Linked DNA regions of Mus musculus. The protein of the gene in region 3 interacts with the protein of the main gene of each other region in a pairwise test. Links are inferred from orthologs where the notes say so. Each region holds a gene or a part of one and is shown on either strand. Other genes may lie near its edges.

Region 1 (4,182 bases), on a different chromosome or scaffold from region 3:
TAAGCTCAATTGTAAGCTCCACCTCAAACTCATAACCTGATTTTACAGAAAAATATAAACTTGTTTACAATTCTGTGAGAAAAAAAAAACGATGTAATAAACTAATAAAGTACTCTAAATTCTAGTTATAAAAACAAATCAATTTCTACACCCCATTCATCTAGTCAATCTAGACTACACTCCAACATTACCTACCTTCCCATCTATATAAAACTTTTCCTCATTCTTTTTTTCAAATTCACTGTTCAACAAGAACTACAAAGCAACTTGTTTTATATTCATTTCCTTACTTATTACATTTTCTGTTTTGGTTTTTTTTTTTTTGTGGTTTTGTTTGTTTCTTGTGTTTATTTTTTATTCTGGTTTGCTCAAAGTTTTTTTTTTTTTTCTTTTTTAAGATTTATTTATTATTATATCTAAGTACACTGTAGCTATCTTCAGATGCACCAGAAAAGGGCATCAGATCTCATTACAGATGGTTACATTACAGAACTCAGGACCTTCAGAAGAACAGTCAGTGCTCTTAACCATTGAGCCATCTCTCCAGCCCCTCGAAGTTTTTTTGATTGTTTGCTAAATACTGAGATAAAGAAGTGGCAGGTGGCAATCTAGACAGAAAGGTAGTCAAAGAAAACTGTTTAAAAGTGTGATATGCTGGGCAGTGGTGGCTCTTGTCTTTAATCCCAGCACTTGGAAGGCAGAGGCAGGTGGATTTCTGAGTTCAAGGCCAGCATGGTCTACAGAGTGAGTTCCAGGACAGCCAGGGCTACACAGAGAAACCCTGTCTCGAAAAACCAAAAAAAAAAAAAAAAAAAAAAAAGTGTGATATGGACACTGAAAACTAGCTCTCTACAACTGAAGGCGTCTGGTGGCAGTGTGGGAGGAGAAAGACTCACTCAATTCTATTTAAGAGGTGGGCATTTAAGAGTTAGACCATGTTCCAGTGAGTATATGAATAACATAAATTGGACTTTCTTTTCTGTATTTTTTTACTTTTCATGGGGGTGGGGTAGGTCCACAAAAGTTGGGGGCGGATATGGAAGGTCTGGGCAGTGAGTGTGATTTGGGGTGCATGATGTGAAATTCCTAGAGAATCAATGAAAATGATATGTTTAAAGGGGGGGCAGGTGGGAGGGGAACCATCATCAGAATATATTGTACAAGTTTTTTTTTTTAAATTAAGATTATCAACGTCAAAAAAAATTACACTTTTTGATTAAGGCCCAAAATTCTATCTATCACTTCTTTTTATTTTTTAAATGTTTCTGGAAGGGAGATTGTCAGAATATTGGTACTGTTGGTTGATTGTGTTTTGAAACAAGATCTTGCTTGGTGTATAGTCCGGTAGTTCCAGTGGACTGAAGTTACTAGGTAACCAGGCTAGCCTCAAAAGCAAAATCTGTCTGAGGCTCCCAAGTACCACCTCACCTGGCTCCTACCTGCCTTGAAAAATTAAGAATATCATGACTTTAAAAAAAAAAAAAGTGTGTCTATGGCCTGTGGCTCTCGAGGCAGCAGAACAGGCCTTTACTTCCAGGCCAGCCTGGTCCAGGCCCTAGTTCTAGGATACCGAAGGCCACACAAAGAAACACTGTCTTGAAAAAACAAAAACAACTATAACAAAACTAAAATAGTGGAAGGAAGACCTTATCTAGAAATTTGAATTCTTTTCAGCTATTTGAAAACACAGAACTTTTTCAGGCCCCACCTGCCAAAAATTCATTTCTAACTTCGGGATGGAGCCTAGGAACTGGTTATCTTTGCTATAAAGAGTCCCTCTGGGGAGCCTATCCCCTATTCGTTCAATCCCAGAGGCAGGTGGATTACTGTGAGTTGAAGCCAGTCAGAGCTACATGAGACCTTGTCACACACATTAAAGAAAAAGTTCCTCGAGGGCTCTGCTCATCACTCGGGCTTGTCAGATGCTTAGTGTACGTTCTCAAGGGCTGGCTCCAACTCCCACTGACACTGGTTGTCCTGAAAATGACTGAAATTCTTTCTATGCCAACTAAGACCTACCTCAAGTCACCTTGCCCAGCCCAGCCAGCGCCTTTGTGCTCCATCCACCTCATCCCTGGAGGAAACACCTCCTCTAACAGAACGGTATCTTGCCTCCATTCTTGTCATCACCCAGCAATAATAAACATAAGGAGAGCACAAAGGGAGCTATCTCGAGCCCCGGAAATCCTGCCGGTTCGGGGTGGGAGAAGGAAGCTAGCTCATCTTGGGCCGTTTTATCACTGAATTGTTAAATTAGCTCAAGGATGGGGCTGAGCGGGCGTGCAAGGGGGGCGGGGACGCTGCTGCTGACACCGACAGGGCTAGGGGCTACAAAGCCAAGGAAAGCCAAGAAAAGCGCGGCACCCCCGGCAGGTAGCCCGGCGGGCCCGCACACCTCTGCAGGGCCCAGGCCGAGCACCCAACGCCCGGGTCTCCACAAGGATTGCTAGGAAACAAAAAAGGCTCCACGTTCTCTGTGATTCCTCTCGGGCCTGGCGAGGACGCCGAGGGACGCAGGGCCCGAGCACCGCCCCCGGGTGCAGGAAGCTGGCGACCAGGACGAGACCAGGGGGTGCGGGGCACGGGTTCGGAGGGGCCGGGCCGGGCCGGGGCGCCGCACGAGGGAAGGGGCGTCCACTCACACGTGCTGACAGGCCGCGGTCCGCACCGGCGTCTTGAGCACCTCCTGACAGACAGGGCAGTAGAAATCATCTTCCGTGTAGGACGTGGCCGCCGAAAGTTCCTCGGACATGGCGAGGGGTGGGCGGGAGAGGCGACGGCGCCGGCAGGAGCCGAGGTGGTGGTGGTAGTAGTGGTGGTGGTGGCGGCCCTGAGCCCGACGCCCGGAGAGGGCCCTGAGGGGGGAGGGAATCGAGTCAGGAAGCGGCTCGCTCAGGAAGCGGCCTGCGTCAGGACGGGGGCGGGACTCGGGGGCGGGGCGGAACCCTGAGACAAGGCAGCAGCACGAGCAGGTCCCGCCCATTCTCCGCGGGGGACACCAGCGTGAAGGCGGAGCTTAGCGGGAGGTGAGGTAGAAGACGCAGTCATTGGTTACGCCGCAGCTTCTATCAACGGCGCGCGCCGAAGCCCCGCCCCCCAGAGCCGCCATGGAGCCGCTGGCCCCGCCCCCGGCGGCCCGGCTCCACCGCTGTCCGCTCCGGCGCCCGCCGGCGAGCCTGTCCTCCTCCGCGGCTCTCACTGGCGCTCTCGGGCTTCCCACGCCCTCCCCGGCCCGCCCCCCTGTCTCCTCCACTCGGCCCGCCGGCGTCACCTCAGATGCCCTGAGCCCCGGCGCGCCTCACGCTCGGTCTCCGTCACGGGCCGGAAGAGCGGTGGTCCTGCGCCGTCTCGTGGTTTCAGTGCCGGGGTGCGCAGGCCTCATGGGACTAAGCCCGAGTGAGGCTCGTGCAGCACCGTGAAGCCCCCACCCCCGGAGCCGCAGTCTGCGACATTGCGCGGCTCGCAGCCCGCCCTCGGGCCACTGCCCACGGCAGGGCGGGGGCGGTGATGGCCAGCACGGCCCCTTTGGCAACCCGGGCAGGTGCGGCGGCGGATTGTGACGAAAGCAATGGGCGGTGGTCTCCAGAGCTGTCCCGCCATATGGATTGCGTTTCTTGTCCCCCTTTCCGCAGAGATTTTTCTTCCATACAATTTTTTTCTTTTCTTCTTTTTTCACCTTTTGTGTGTGTGTGTTTTGGCTTGTTTTTTTGGTGTTGGAGTTGGGGGAGGGGGGGGTTGAGACAGTTTTTCTTTAGTCTTGGCTGTCCTGAAACCAGCTCTGGAATTAGACCAGGCTGGCCTGCCCCACGATCTCATTAGACTCTGTAATGTATGTACTCAAGGAGACCAAGGCAGGAGGATCTCATATTCAAAGGTCAGCCTACGCTGCTGCTGTGGAGTTTGAATTTTCATTTTAAACAAAGTGACAGATGCAGTCTTCTACTATAATACTTTTTTGTTTAAAGAAAGAATGCTAGAACTGAAGAATGAGGTAGAAGCATGTACCTTGTGCATTCCCTCTAAGCCACGAATTTGATATTTTTGCACTCACTGCGGAAACAATAAGTGTGCATTCTTGAATAGGCCTGATAAAGGCCCATTTAATTCCTAGTAAAGCCATATGAAATAGGAATGAAAGTTTGTGGGAAAGCGGGTAGGGAAAATCCAGAGTATATTAGGGTA
Region 2 (4,330 bases), on a different chromosome or scaffold from region 3:
TCGTAAGTTCTCCTCAGCTACTTACCAATACTGTTCCCATGGCCAAAACCAGTAATCCTACAATCCCAGTGAAAGGAATGAGGTAATAGCCCAAGGGGAAGCTGTTGTCTGGAACCAGAAGCACCCGAGCCCTGAGGAGAGAGAGACACAACCTCAAGCCAGGTAAAATAGGGTTACTGGCTTGGGACAAGGCATAATGAGGAGAAAGTCAAGGCAGCCGAGGAAGAGCCTGAGCCTGAGTGGATTGAGAAGAACTGGAAGAAAGCATGCGTCCTACCCCTTCTCGTAGACAAAAAGGGCTCGTAGGTACTCTGCGCTTCTCTCTCCAATAAATACAGATGGGATCCAGATCTGCTGTTGGATTTCCTCTGTAAGGAGCAGGATATTAGGGATTTAGCCTTCTGTTCCTCAATTCCCTGAAACTGGCTTTTGGCACTTTTTGCAGATCTCAACCAATTGCCCTCCCACTCAACTCCACGGTGCACCCAGTAGTGCAGGCTTCTTCCTTACCGCTGTTCCACACCATGTTCAGCAGTTCATTGGAATTCACATTGTGCACCACAGCTGCACCATACCCAGCCTTCTGAGCATTTAGGACCTAAGGAGGCCAAGCGGGAGGGATAGAGCTGTAACCCTTGCCCTTCATTCCTGGTGTCATGTACCCTGCTTACCACCTCCCATTCCCCATTCAGCAACCTTGAGGTCAAAGTTGCAGTCGAATCTTCGAAGCAGTGCAATAAAGACTGACCCATTGACCGGGGCTGAGGGTGGTGGGGCAATAGGACCGCAGGCATTTTCTGGGTGGGCCTCCACAAGGAACCCCTGAGGGATAAAGGCAAACATTTTCATCTTTAGTTCTGTCTTCCACAGGACCTACCACACATAACACTATATACTACCTGCATTCTGCAGCTCTATCATTGCTCATTCTGGAGGTCTGAGCATCCCACCCAACACTGAATCTACAACTCAGACATGGTGATACATGCATTTAATCCCAGCACTTGAGACTACTGTGAGTTGGGGACAGCCAGAGTTCCAGAGTCCAGTCTCAAAAAAAAGAAAAAAGAAAAGGGATCTCTCAGCTTTCTTGAAGATGCAGTTACAGTAAACTACATCCCTTACCAGAGGCTCCCTTAACTTCTCAAGCGTAGTTTAGTTCTGCTTTTAAGTTTCCCACCGATAGTGGTTCACCTTGCTACTCATTCATGGCATTTTCAACAAGTTTCATTTTCCAATTAGCCATCTTACAACTCTACTGCTAACTGTGGCCGAATGAATTCTTGCTATGTGGCATGAACTTTGTAGTGAACTACTACAGACATGCTTATCACACTGGCACGATAGCCCTAGGTTAATTTCTATTTCTCATTTGACTCAGAACCCATAAAAAGCTGTCCATGGCCATCTATACAAACAGTAAGTTGCTCCAGAGACTGCTGATAAGCACCTGCTTTTTATCTTAGCCCACTCTCAGACTCCCTCTTAAACTTGGGAGTTCTAGGGGTTGTAGATGGTTCAGTGCTTAAGCGCACTGGCTGTTCTTCCAGAGAACCGGAGTTCAGTTCCTAGCATCCATGTAGCAGCTCACAACTGACTGTAACTCCAGTTCCAGGGGATCTGACACTCTCACACCTATGCATATAAAATAAAAAATGTTAAGTTCTAGAGGTGGGCACTATCTATTATCTCTGGATTCTGGACTCTGCGCGCTGGACATGATCATGCACTTAGGTTTTTCTGGATTGGGGACACTTTTTTTTTTTTGCTGGAGATTCAACCTAGAATCTCACTCATACTAGAAAAAGCACCCTATCATTGAACTATCCGCAGTCCACTGCATTCCGCTGCTAACTCCACTACTTCCTACCTCCTGAGCACGGCCACTTCGCCCCTACCCAGGATCCATATAGGGAAATGGGGAAAACATCACCTGCAGTCCCTCGTCGCTCAGAGTGGCCCCAAACAGAGCTGGAAGGTCTGCAAAGTCCATGCTGGCATTGTGCTCCGAAGTCTGCAGACGGAACACTACGTGTTTCAGTCTGAACCCCATTCTCAGCACCCTGTCCCCGTCCGACCCTCAGACTCACCGCTCGAATCAGCCCTCGGACAGGGGCTGCTCCCCACAGTACAGTAGCCACGACAACAGGAAGCGGGAAGGCCGCAGGGTGCATGGCAGCGGGAGGGGTAAAGCTGCGAAGGTCGCGTTCTGATCGCAGGAGCAGAAGCCGAGTCCTGCGCCCTCCTCTGCCTCTCCTTCAGGATCCCAGGGGTCCAACCACCCCTAGGTCCCACTTCTCAGCTACATGGGGGCGTCGGGGAAGGAACTCCGATTCAGGGAGTGAGCTATCAAACCAGCTTAGCGGAGCTGGTAGGGGAGACAATGTATCTTTCTCTAGTACAGAAATAGGACAGAATAGGAGCGAAGGCAAACAGGTAACAACAACAACAAAAAAACTTCCGGAAGGGTAGGAGAAACCTCAAAGAGGTGGGACTTCCGGCCAGGTAGACTGTCTTCCTATGCCCCTGGAAAAGGGTTTCCGGTAAGAAAGGCCAATTCCAGTATTGGACGCTCAGGACGGAGGACTTCCGGTCCCGAGAGGCCGGTTGAAAGAAATGTTTGACATGTAGAAGGAGCCTGCGGAGATGGAGGGAGCTTCGATGCTCAGGAGACGATCTAGTTTTTTTCCCTCAGTCCCTGAGATCCTGGAGCTGCCCTGTTTACAAACCTCTCCTTCGTCTGGCCGCCACGGTACGTTCAAAGTATCGCGAGAGTGCTTGCCACCACCCTCCCTCCACCCCCCCACCCCCTTTCGCCGCTGAAATATATCGCGAGAGGCCTCATAGCCCGAACTCGGCTGATTCACTTGCTCTCGCGAGGTTTTCAAACAAGCTTTTTTTTTTTTTTTTTCCCCGCGATTCCAATTCCGGAGGGGCGGGAATTTAGGGTAGCTTCCTAAATCGGCCACGCCCCTTCATCGTGCATCTTAGCCCCGCCTTATTCCCCGGCTGCCTTTGCGCTCCGAGCCTGCGCCCGCCCCAGCTTCCAGCTGGAGCCAGATTTGCCTGTCGGAGGGGCGTGCGCGCGCGCGCCCTCACCCTGTTGCGCGCTGGTGTCACCTTGGGCGCGAGCGGGGCTGTACGTGCACGGGACCCAAAGCCGAGGGCCATCAAGGGGCGATGGCGGCGACGGCGAGTCCTGGGGCTGGCCGGATGGACGGGAAACCCCGTACCTCCCCTAAGTCTGTCAAGTTCCTGTTTGGGGGCCTGGCTGGGTAAGCTCAGGCCCCAGTGATGGGGGAAAAGGAGGAAGGGACGGGAGCAAGCACCTGGGCCCAGTGTAACTTGGGGTGTGTTGCAGTAAATTGAGCCGGTGCAGGGTCCCTGATGGGTTGCCAGGATCTATTCATCCTTTGCAGGGACCCAACTGTGCTGCATTCAAGGATCTTTACCCTGTGTTTCCACCACCTTTGCTTCGTTGTGCCTGTTTGGGTGGTGGGTATAGGTCATTAAAGGCTTTGTTATAGGACTGCTTGGAGTCTTAGGATGGGGACGCCCTCTCCACCTTTCTTTAGATCGCCTGTAGTCCTAATTCTGCTTGAACCCTAAAGAACTGCCTGAGGCTTTTTGATTTGCATGCCCCTTACTGGGCAACTGGACTCTTTTGCTGGCACGTTGCCCTTGATGCACACACTTAACACACATGCCCACCAGCCTCCTGAATCCTTAGTGGCCCTGACCTTTGTAACTTCTTGCCAGGTTGCAGTAGAGCTGGAACCACTGACCTCTGATTCCCTTTCCTGCCTCACTTCAGGATGGGTGCTACAGTCTTTGTGCAGCCCCTGGACCTGGTGAAGAACCGGATGCAGTTGAGTGGTGAAGGGGCCAAGACTCGAGAGTACAAAACCAGTTTCCATGCCCTCACCAGCATCCTGAAGACAGAAGGCCTGAAGGGCATTTACACTGGGTACTGTGGCCTCAAGTTGGGGAGGGAAGTTGTTGGTTGGCAGGTCCAGACCTTGGCCTGATGTGCTGACATTTCTACTCTTCAGGCTGTCAGCTGGTCTACTGCGCCAGGCCACCTACACCACTACTCGCCTTGGAATATATACTGTGTTGTTTGAGCGCCTGACTGGGGCTGATGGTACACCCCCTGGCTTTCTTCTGAAAGCCCTGATTGGCATGACTGCAGGTGCAACTGGTGCATTTGTGGGAACGCCAGCTGAGGTGGCTCTCATCAGGATGACTGCTGATGGTCGGTGAGTTCCGTTTCTGAGCTTAACTCCAGCCCCATTCCTGGACTCTAGGATGGTGTTGTTAGTCTATATCT
Region 3 (4,003 bases):
AAAGGCAAAAAAAAAAAAAAAAAAAAAAAGTCATCAGATCCACCAAAATTATTAAAACACTACCAAATGAATTAAACCTCATATACTGGAGATTTGCATGAAGTGACATGGTGAAATAATTACTTGGCCAACTATTCAAAAGCTCACATTTACACACTAAAAAGGAAATATATAGACTGCACTATGGGTCCTTCATTGAGGTGAAAATCAATACAACCTATCTACGGAACTGGACTTGACTTACTAAAATGTCAACGAAATAAACTATCTGTGAGGATAAAGCTATACGTTGGTTTTGTGTGTGTGTGTGTGTGTTTTACAATATTAAATTTCATCTGATCTTTTCCAAAACATTCTTTGCAACTTAGTTCCTTGAAATGAGTTCCCTGCTAGGTTTTTAAAGGGACCATTCTTGAATAACTTGTGTTCATATTTCCTATTTTCTTCCTGAGATCCATTGACAATTTTTTTAAATCTTGTACATGAGGATGAGCTTTTATTTTATTTGCATTTATGGGTGTAGAGGTCAAAGGAAAAACCTCCCATGTGGGTCCTCGAGTCTGAACTCAGGTCATCAGGCAAGCCACCTTTACCCATGGAGCCACTTCCTTAACCCATCAGTTAAATATGCACTGCCAGAGCCATACAAATGCTGAAAACCTTCAACTTAAACACCAAACACCATTGGGAAAAGTCACACCACAGGAAGCAAAGAGAATATATCGATTTTCAGGGCAGTAACTTGACACTTTTAGATAAAAGAAAGCATGAGAAGTCTAAAGACTCCTACCACCTTATTATAGATGTTTGAGGCCAACAAGATTAGGTATTATCTTCCATTAAGAAACCCTGCCTCAAAAAAACGGGAAAAAAAAGAATATATATATATAAACAATCCCAAACTAAGTTTGCTTATTTAAAAAGTTTAAATCACCGTTAAAAATTTGTGAATACAGCCATTCACACTGTTTCTGCATTGTTCCACAAAAAATACAAAGTCATCCTTCCATTCAGAGTTTTGGCAAATGAATACAGAGGTCAGAGTTCATGCTACGTAAGGCAGATCACTACTTACTTCTTAGTATGCTCACTAAATCTGCTAATATTGTCATTTCAATTTTAAGTGACTTTCTACAAGTCTACTGGGACGATGGCTAATGATCTGCAAGCTGGAAGGCACAAATATAGGTGGAGAGCTACAAGATTTGTAACAGTTCCTCATGTGCTTAAAAGGCTTAATTTTAAAGATCATAATTGACATTATCAAAGCATCAAGCAAGCCTAGAAGAAAAACATGTAAACCTGAAAAAAATAATTACTTACAGAATTTTGTTGTTAAGTTCAATCATAGAAAAGCTAGCATTTTTGTCGATTTAGGTGGAAAAAGTTGTACTATTACTTTTACAGATGAGTAAAATTATTCAATCACTCTCAATATTTCACATAAATAAATTTGGCAAGCATTAATGTACTTAAAATTTGCAAGACTTACAATGTACTAGGAGTTTTATTTTTCTTAATATGCTATTTCCTGCTATAATATTGTGTCAAAAAAATAAACCTAACTCAATAGTGAACTACAATAACGTGTTATCTGATGAAATCCCTTGTTTTTTAATAGGCCTGTTTTTAAAAGTGAGACTCAAGTTAACTATGAGGGACATCATAATGAAGTTTCACAGTACAACACTAGTCACAGAGGCATTGCCCTAGGAGAGCCTGACACTGGTAAACAGTATTCTGAAATAGGCTACTCAGACACTCCATTATTCTCCCTACTTCAAATCATTTAATTAACAAACAACTTGCCTTTGACCAGACTAAAAGCTTTAAATGTCAATGATGAGGCCTAGTTACGGGCTGGGTCCGTAGAAAAGAGATTACCACCTCATTCGGAATTATTTCTCTATCTGTAGTGGAAATTGTTTCAGTTCCCTTCCCATTATGTCTCCCTTTCCCCCAACACTACACTGGAAGGGAGTAACTCAAAGTCTTCCCCTCGTCTATACCTAAAGACTGTGGAGGTTCCTTCCCCAAGGAGAAGACAGCAAAGGCCCCGGCCGGCGATCTCCAGAACACCCCGAAAAGCGTGGGCCTGGGGGGTGCGCTGCGGCCGGGGGATCCAGTTACTACCTTTCCCCTTCCCCCAACCCACTTCCCGGGTTTTCTCGGCCTGCTCCTTCTTCCCCACCGCCTAGTCACACTTCCAGATGTTGCCGCCACCGCCTCGGGGCTCCCTCTAGAGCTCACGTGCCCCCGACGAGTGCTTCGGCATCGGCCCTCCAAACCCCGTTCCTCCCCAGGCCGGCCGGCCGGCCAGCCGCCCGCGAGACCGCCTCTCCCAGGGCCCGGGGAGGGGAGGGAAAGGCGGCGGGAGGAGGAGGGGAGGCCGCCGCTTCCCCAGAGGCAGAGAGGCGGCCGCAGCGAAGCCGGCCAGGGCCCGCCGGGGGTCGCGGAAGGAAGGGGCCCTGCCGCCCGGGGCTGAGATGGGGGCGTCCGGTAGCTCGTTCCTGACCTCCTCGCTCTTCAGCACCTCCTTGAACTCCCGCTTGATTCGCTGCACCGCGATGTTGGCCATGTCTCTGCCCGCAGCTGATTCGTACCCGCCTCCTCCGCCACCGCTACGACCACCGCCACCGCTGCCACCTCTTCCTCCGCCGCCGCCTCCTCCCTCAGCGATTCAGACCCGAGCACACGAACGCTGCCACTGCCACCCTCGCCGTCGCGTTCCTCCTCACTGTAGAATCACCTCCGCGCCCGGCCACCAAAATGGCGCCGGGTCCGCGCATGCGCACCACGCTGACCCGACCGGGCGGCGCAGCCGCTCCAGTGGGAGCCCCATACGTCTCCAGCAGCGAGCCCGCGCCGCGCCGCGCCGCGCGTCTCAGCCGGGGCTTCGGCCGCGTGGCTCCGCCCTGCCGGCGGCTGGGGCCAGGAGGGTGCGGCTTCGCGGCCTGTCCGCGGGGTCTGGGCCTGCCGGGTCCTCCCCTGCCCCTCGGCCTCCTTTACAGAGAGACCTCCAGTCCCTAGGCTGGGACCCGAGGTGGGAGCCCGGCCTGGCGGGTGTCCCCGGCCCTAGCCGGGCCGAGCCCCGCTCTAACTCGGCCAGACCCAGAACCCACGGGCTCGAAGTGCCTCCCTGTGTCTAGCGGAGGAAAAAGCTATGCAGGAACTGGGTCCTGCCCAGCGTCCGTTGGTAAACCCCCGGGAAATCCACTGCCGTAGCTTTTGTTCTGGAACCATGATAAGGCAACTATTATTCGGTCATCTCAGGTATTACAGATGTTTAAGGTTGTGTAATGGTTGTGTCCCACGGCTTGTAATTGATACAGGTGTTGCCAGAAAGAGGCCTGTGATGGGTTTAAAAGCCAGAAGTTACATCTTTGCCCTGTTTAGATAATCAATGCTGAACTGCAGAACTAAGGTGTTTTTCAAACTTGAAAGTGCCTCGGAATCCCTGGAGAGCTGGTTAAGATTGTTAGCACCTATCTCTAGAGTGTGGATGGACCTAAGAATTGGCATTCCTAGCAAGCTCCCTGCTGCCCGTTTTTCAGCGGCCACGCTGTGGGAATGACTGGATTAAGCATGTGAAGAACTGTATTTATTATAGTGACAGTTGAAGAAATAGAAGGCCGAAAGAGCTTTAAACTTACAAAGGTGTTTGGCGCTTGTATTGAGTGAATATAGTTGAGTGGAGAAAAGAGAAACGAGTAAAATTATTTAATTGAGCAATAACGTGGAGAGGCTATTTGAAAGTGGTTAGTAGAGTTTAAAACAATATGGTGTGGGTGCTGAGAGGTACTTTGAAAATAACATTTTGAGCGCCGGGCATGGTGGCGCACGCCTTTAATCCCAGCACTCAGGAGGCAGAGGCAGGCGGATTTCTGAGTTCGAGGCCAGCCTGGTCTCAGAGTGAGTTCCAGGACAGCCAGGGCTATGCAGAAAAACCCTGTCTGGAAAAACCAAAAAAGTAAAAATAAAAAAAAAAGAAAGAAAATAACAT
Region 4 (3,560 bases), on a different chromosome or scaffold from region 3:
GACACTGAGAAGGTGTCTTGTGCTTATTCTTCAGAAACAGATGAAGTTCCTGGAGCAGCGGCAGGATGAGACCAAACAAGCTCGGGAGGAGGCCCACCGACTCAAGTGCAAGATGAAAACCATGGAGCAGTGAGTCCCCAGCTGGCTTCTATACTGTCCTTTCATACCTAGGGCACCAGGGGGCGGATTCTCAGGGCTGCAGCTGAAAATGGGTCTTGTTCATCTTTGATTCAGATTCCCAGGTGCCTTTGGCCACAGATTTCCTTTTTTAACCTCTGTGGGCCCCTTCCCTTTTTGTGAGTCCTCTCATTACACTTCTTGTTCTGTTGCCTATGGATAGGTGGCTTGCCATGCCTTTCCCTCCAGGAGCCTCTCTGTGTGAAGTCCCTGACCTTGAAGTCCTCTGTCAGCACCTCTTTTTCCTCAGAAGCATCCCTGGAGCTGAGCTCATCTCTGCTGTAGAACCTTTCCTTGGGCACACCCACCTGCTAAAGCATCCTAGCAGCCCAGGCTGTTGCCATAGCAACAGCAGCAAAGGGAGGCAGACTAACCATCAGCCTCCAGATTTCAAATGCCGTGGGCCGGGAATGTTTTTCAGAATTGAGCTCCTACTCCAGAGCCAGCGGTCTGAGGTGGAGGAGATGATTCGAGACATGGGTGTGGGACAGTCAGCGGTGGAGCAGCTGGCTGTGTACTGCGTGTCCCTCAAGAAGTGCGTAAGCTCGGGCGTGCCTCTGCCATCATCTTTTGTAATGCAGATACTGTGAAGGAGCAGGTTGTAGAACCATATTGTCGTAAGGTGAACTCTAGCTCTTAGGCTACTTCCGAGGCCCCTCTGACCTCCACTTTTCTGCATGGAGAGAGGGGTTTGCCCTTGCTGAGAGAAGAGTATGGATGCAAGTTTTGTCTCTGAGGAGCTCATGCAGCTCTCAGCAGTGAGCTCCCTCAGGAGATCTGGAGTCTTCTGCATTAGCCCTGTTTCTGACCCTGCCTGACTTCCATAGCAAACTCCCCATATCCTTCATTATGGTGGTGACAGGAAGCTGGAGAAAGGAGCTGCTTGCCTCCATTTGGGGTTGTAGGGAGCCCCCTAGTGAGGCTTGCATGCTCAAGGCGCAGTTCCTGAGTGTGACCAGGATTTGTTCCTCCACCTCATTACACATGCAGGGCCTGCCAGGGGCCCTGGCAGGCGGGTGAGGAGGAGCTCATTTGTGAGGCCTCTGTTAAGCTGGCGCTATGGCTTAGTCACAGCACCGACCATGCCAGTCAGGGTGTTCTGTTCTGTGTCTCTTCTCATGGCTGCTTTGCAGAGAGTATGAGAATCTGAAGGAAGCTCGGAAGGCCACAGGGGAACTGGCTGACAGGTTGAAGAAGGATTTGGTGTCCTCTAGGAGCAAGGTGACTGACTGGTGGTGACAAAGGGAAAGGGAGGTGGGTCTCCTGAGCTAGGCCATCCATGCCCACACCACTGGGCCAGAGAAGGTGGCCTACAGACACTGGGTATGCCTTTTACTGTGCACTGTCTCAGACTCTGGCTTGTCACTTGGGTCCCCAGCACACACTCATGCCACCTTTTGCTCTTCTTGATTCCTAGATGCATCTTAGCTGGCTTGGAGAGCACAAACCTCCAGTATGGTAGCGCCAGCAGCCCACTTTATACCCCATCCCAAACCGAGGGTTCTTGGGCCTGCTGCTTTCCTTCTGTAGGCCGCACTGTGTACAGAGACACGCTTGCCCCCAGGCAGCCCATATTCATGCTTAGTTGATGTCTGGGGTCTCCCCTGTACCTCCGGTTTTTTTTTTTTTTTTTAGACTACCCAAACATACACTGGATAGCAGCAGGTAGGGGCAGGTCATGTGGCACCACTGGCTTCTCCTTTCTTACAGTTGAAGACTCTCAACACTGAGCTGGATCAGGCCAAGTTAGAACTGAGGTCAGCCCAGAAGGACTTACAAAGTGCTGACCAGGAGATCACGGTGAGACACCCTGGCCTGTGGGAAGTGAGGGGACCTGAGGGGTTATGTGCCTCTAAGGGTAGGGCTGGACTGTTTCTGCCTGGAAACCTGTGTTACAGTCATTGGTGTTTCCGGGCCCTCTGTATCCTCCTGGGTTGGAGGTGGGTCAGCATATGCACCCTAGTCTGGCCTTGAGCCTGTCCCTCCTCAGCAGAGGGCTAAGGGCACCGTGAATCTTCCTCTGTCGTCTGCTCAGTTCTTACCTCCAAGGCGGTCCCTAATCTCCAGAGCGAGTATGCCACCAAGCGGAGTTCTCAGGCCTGGCTGGTGTTGGTGGTCAGCCCTCACTCTGTTCCCTGTGCCCTTTACACAGGCGTTTCTCCTTAGTGCCACAACCTTTCTCTCAGGTTCTCGCTCTCCTTTCTCCAGAGCCTAAGAAAGAAGCTGATGATCCTCCAGGGAACCTTGAGCCTGCCTCCGGCGACCAATGAGACGGTCAGCCGCCTGGTTTTTGAGAGGTTTGTTACCCTTCTGGGGTGATTCTGGATCACAAGCTAAGAGAGCCTGCGCTCCTGGCTTTGGTGGGATAGATGTGTTTATGGACCTTCTGACCAGAGAGCCAGCCAGGCTCTAACTGAAAAGCGGCTTTGAGAGAATTTGGGGTCTGACCAGGAAAGGCAGAGAAAGCCTTTGAGTAGCCTGAGGACAGGGCAGGGGCAGTGGTTGTCTTGGAGTATCCTGGAGTTTCTCACCACATGCGTCTGTCTGCCCCATCTCTGAAACATACTTGAGAGTGCTCACTCTAAAATAAGCCCCCTCAGCCTGGTGGTGTTGGTGCACGTCTTTAATCCTAGCATTCGGGAGGCAGAGGCAGACAGATGTATCTATGAATTCAAGACCAGCCTGGTCTACAGAGAGTTCCAGGCCAGCCAGTCCAAAATAAATAAATAATCCTCGCGGGTCCAGGAGTGTGCTTTCAGGCTGCCAGCAGAGGGAGCCAAACGACCCAGGGATTGGTGTCCCTGCTAGGAGCAAGCTTCAGTCTTCCTGAGTGTTTTTCACAGAAATGGGCTGGCTAAGAATATCCTCAAGGCTGTCTTCTGCCTGCTACAGGACCCCAGCAAGGGAGCCAAATTAAAACTGTCAACAGCCCAGAGTTTTACTTAAGTCACTTTTTAACATATTATGGCAAATCAGTATGCCCTTTCTTTCTGCCAGTGCAGTTTACCCATTCAGTGCCTTCCAACACTCCACTTTCCTCCTGGGTACTGTGGCCCCTGACTCCCCATCTCTCAGTTCCTCAATACTGTGTCTCAGGACAGTCATGGAGCGGGCTTAGGTTTAAATGGTTTCCTAGGATCCTGCCGTGTCACAGCCAACCATAAGAAAACACTTCTTCCTGCTTCCACAATTGCTTCTTTTCTTTCCTATCTGAAGGCTCTGTTTGTGCTGGCCAGCTTCCTCAGCCAGATAGCACATTGTGTGTGTGCTTGTGTGTGTGTGTGCCTCATGTGTGTATTCATGAATGAGTATATTTGTGTAAGAGTGTGTGTATGTATTATATATACATATGTATGTGTGCATGAATGAGTATGTGTATGAAA

What was found.
Region 1: the proteins of Ube2k (region 3) and Rnf138 interact in binary tests that used the Homo sapiens proteins (3 or more experiments, as listed by UniProt). The link is inferred for Mus musculus from reciprocal best matches to the Homo sapiens genes UBE2K and RNF138.
Region 2: the proteins of Ube2k (region 3) and Rnf167 interact in binary tests that used the Homo sapiens proteins (3 or more experiments, as listed by UniProt). The link is inferred for Mus musculus from reciprocal best matches to the Homo sapiens genes UBE2K and RNF167.
Region 4: the proteins of Ube2k (region 3) and Traip interact in binary tests that used the Homo sapiens proteins (3 or more experiments, as listed by UniProt). The link is inferred for Mus musculus from reciprocal best matches to the Homo sapiens genes UBE2K and TRAIP.

Annotation. Positions count from the first base shown.
Region 1 is NC_000084.6:21,000,630-21,004,811, reverse strand, and holds the start of Rnf138 (E3 ubiquitin-protein ligase RNF138), read right to left. Parts: upstream 2,856-4,182; 5' UTR 2,753-2,855; coding exon 2,643-2,752; intron 1-2,642. UniProt on the Homo sapiens protein: E3 ubiquitin-protein ligase involved in DNA damage response by promoting DNA resection and homologous recombination.
Region 2 is NC_000077.6:70,645,713-70,650,042, reverse strand, and holds the start of Rnf167 (E3 ubiquitin-protein ligase RNF167 isoform 1 precursor), read right to left. Parts: upstream 2,809-4,330; 5' UTR 2,175-2,808; coding exon 2,091-2,174; intron 2,029-2,090; exon of another isoform or gene 2,015-2,028; coding exon 1,934-2,014; intron 1,636-1,933; exon of another isoform or gene 1,451-1,635; intron 823-1,450; coding exon 697-822; intron 599-696; coding exon 511-598; intron 369-510; coding exon 278-368; intron 132-277; coding exon 26-131; intron 1-25. Other genes in the region: Slc25a11 (mitochondrial 2-oxoglutarate/malate carrier protein), read left to right, coding at 3,181-3,275, 3,815-3,967, 4,053-4,259.
Region 3 is NC_000071.6:65,536,059-65,540,061, reverse strand, and holds the start of Ube2k (ubiquitin-conjugating enzyme E2 K), read right to left. Parts: upstream 2,818-4,003; 5' UTR 2,579-2,817; coding exon 2,516-2,578; intron 1-2,515. UniProt on the Homo sapiens protein: Accepts ubiquitin from the E1 complex and catalyzes its covalent attachment to other proteins. In vitro, in the presence or in the absence of BRCA1-BARD1 E3 ubiquitin-protein ligase complex, catalyzes the synthesis of 'Lys-48'-linked polyubiquitin chains.
Region 4 is NC_000075.6:107,960,944-107,964,503, forward strand, and holds part of Traip (E3 ubiquitin-protein ligase TRAIP), read left to right. Parts: intron 1-34; coding exon 35-129; intron 130-598; coding exon 599-712; intron 713-1,310; coding exon 1,311-1,398; intron 1,399-1,887; coding exon 1,888-1,977; intron 1,978-2,363; exon of another isoform or gene 2,364-2,385; coding exon 2,386-2,474; intron 2,475-3,560. UniProt on the Homo sapiens protein: E3 ubiquitin ligase required to protect genome stability in response to replication stress.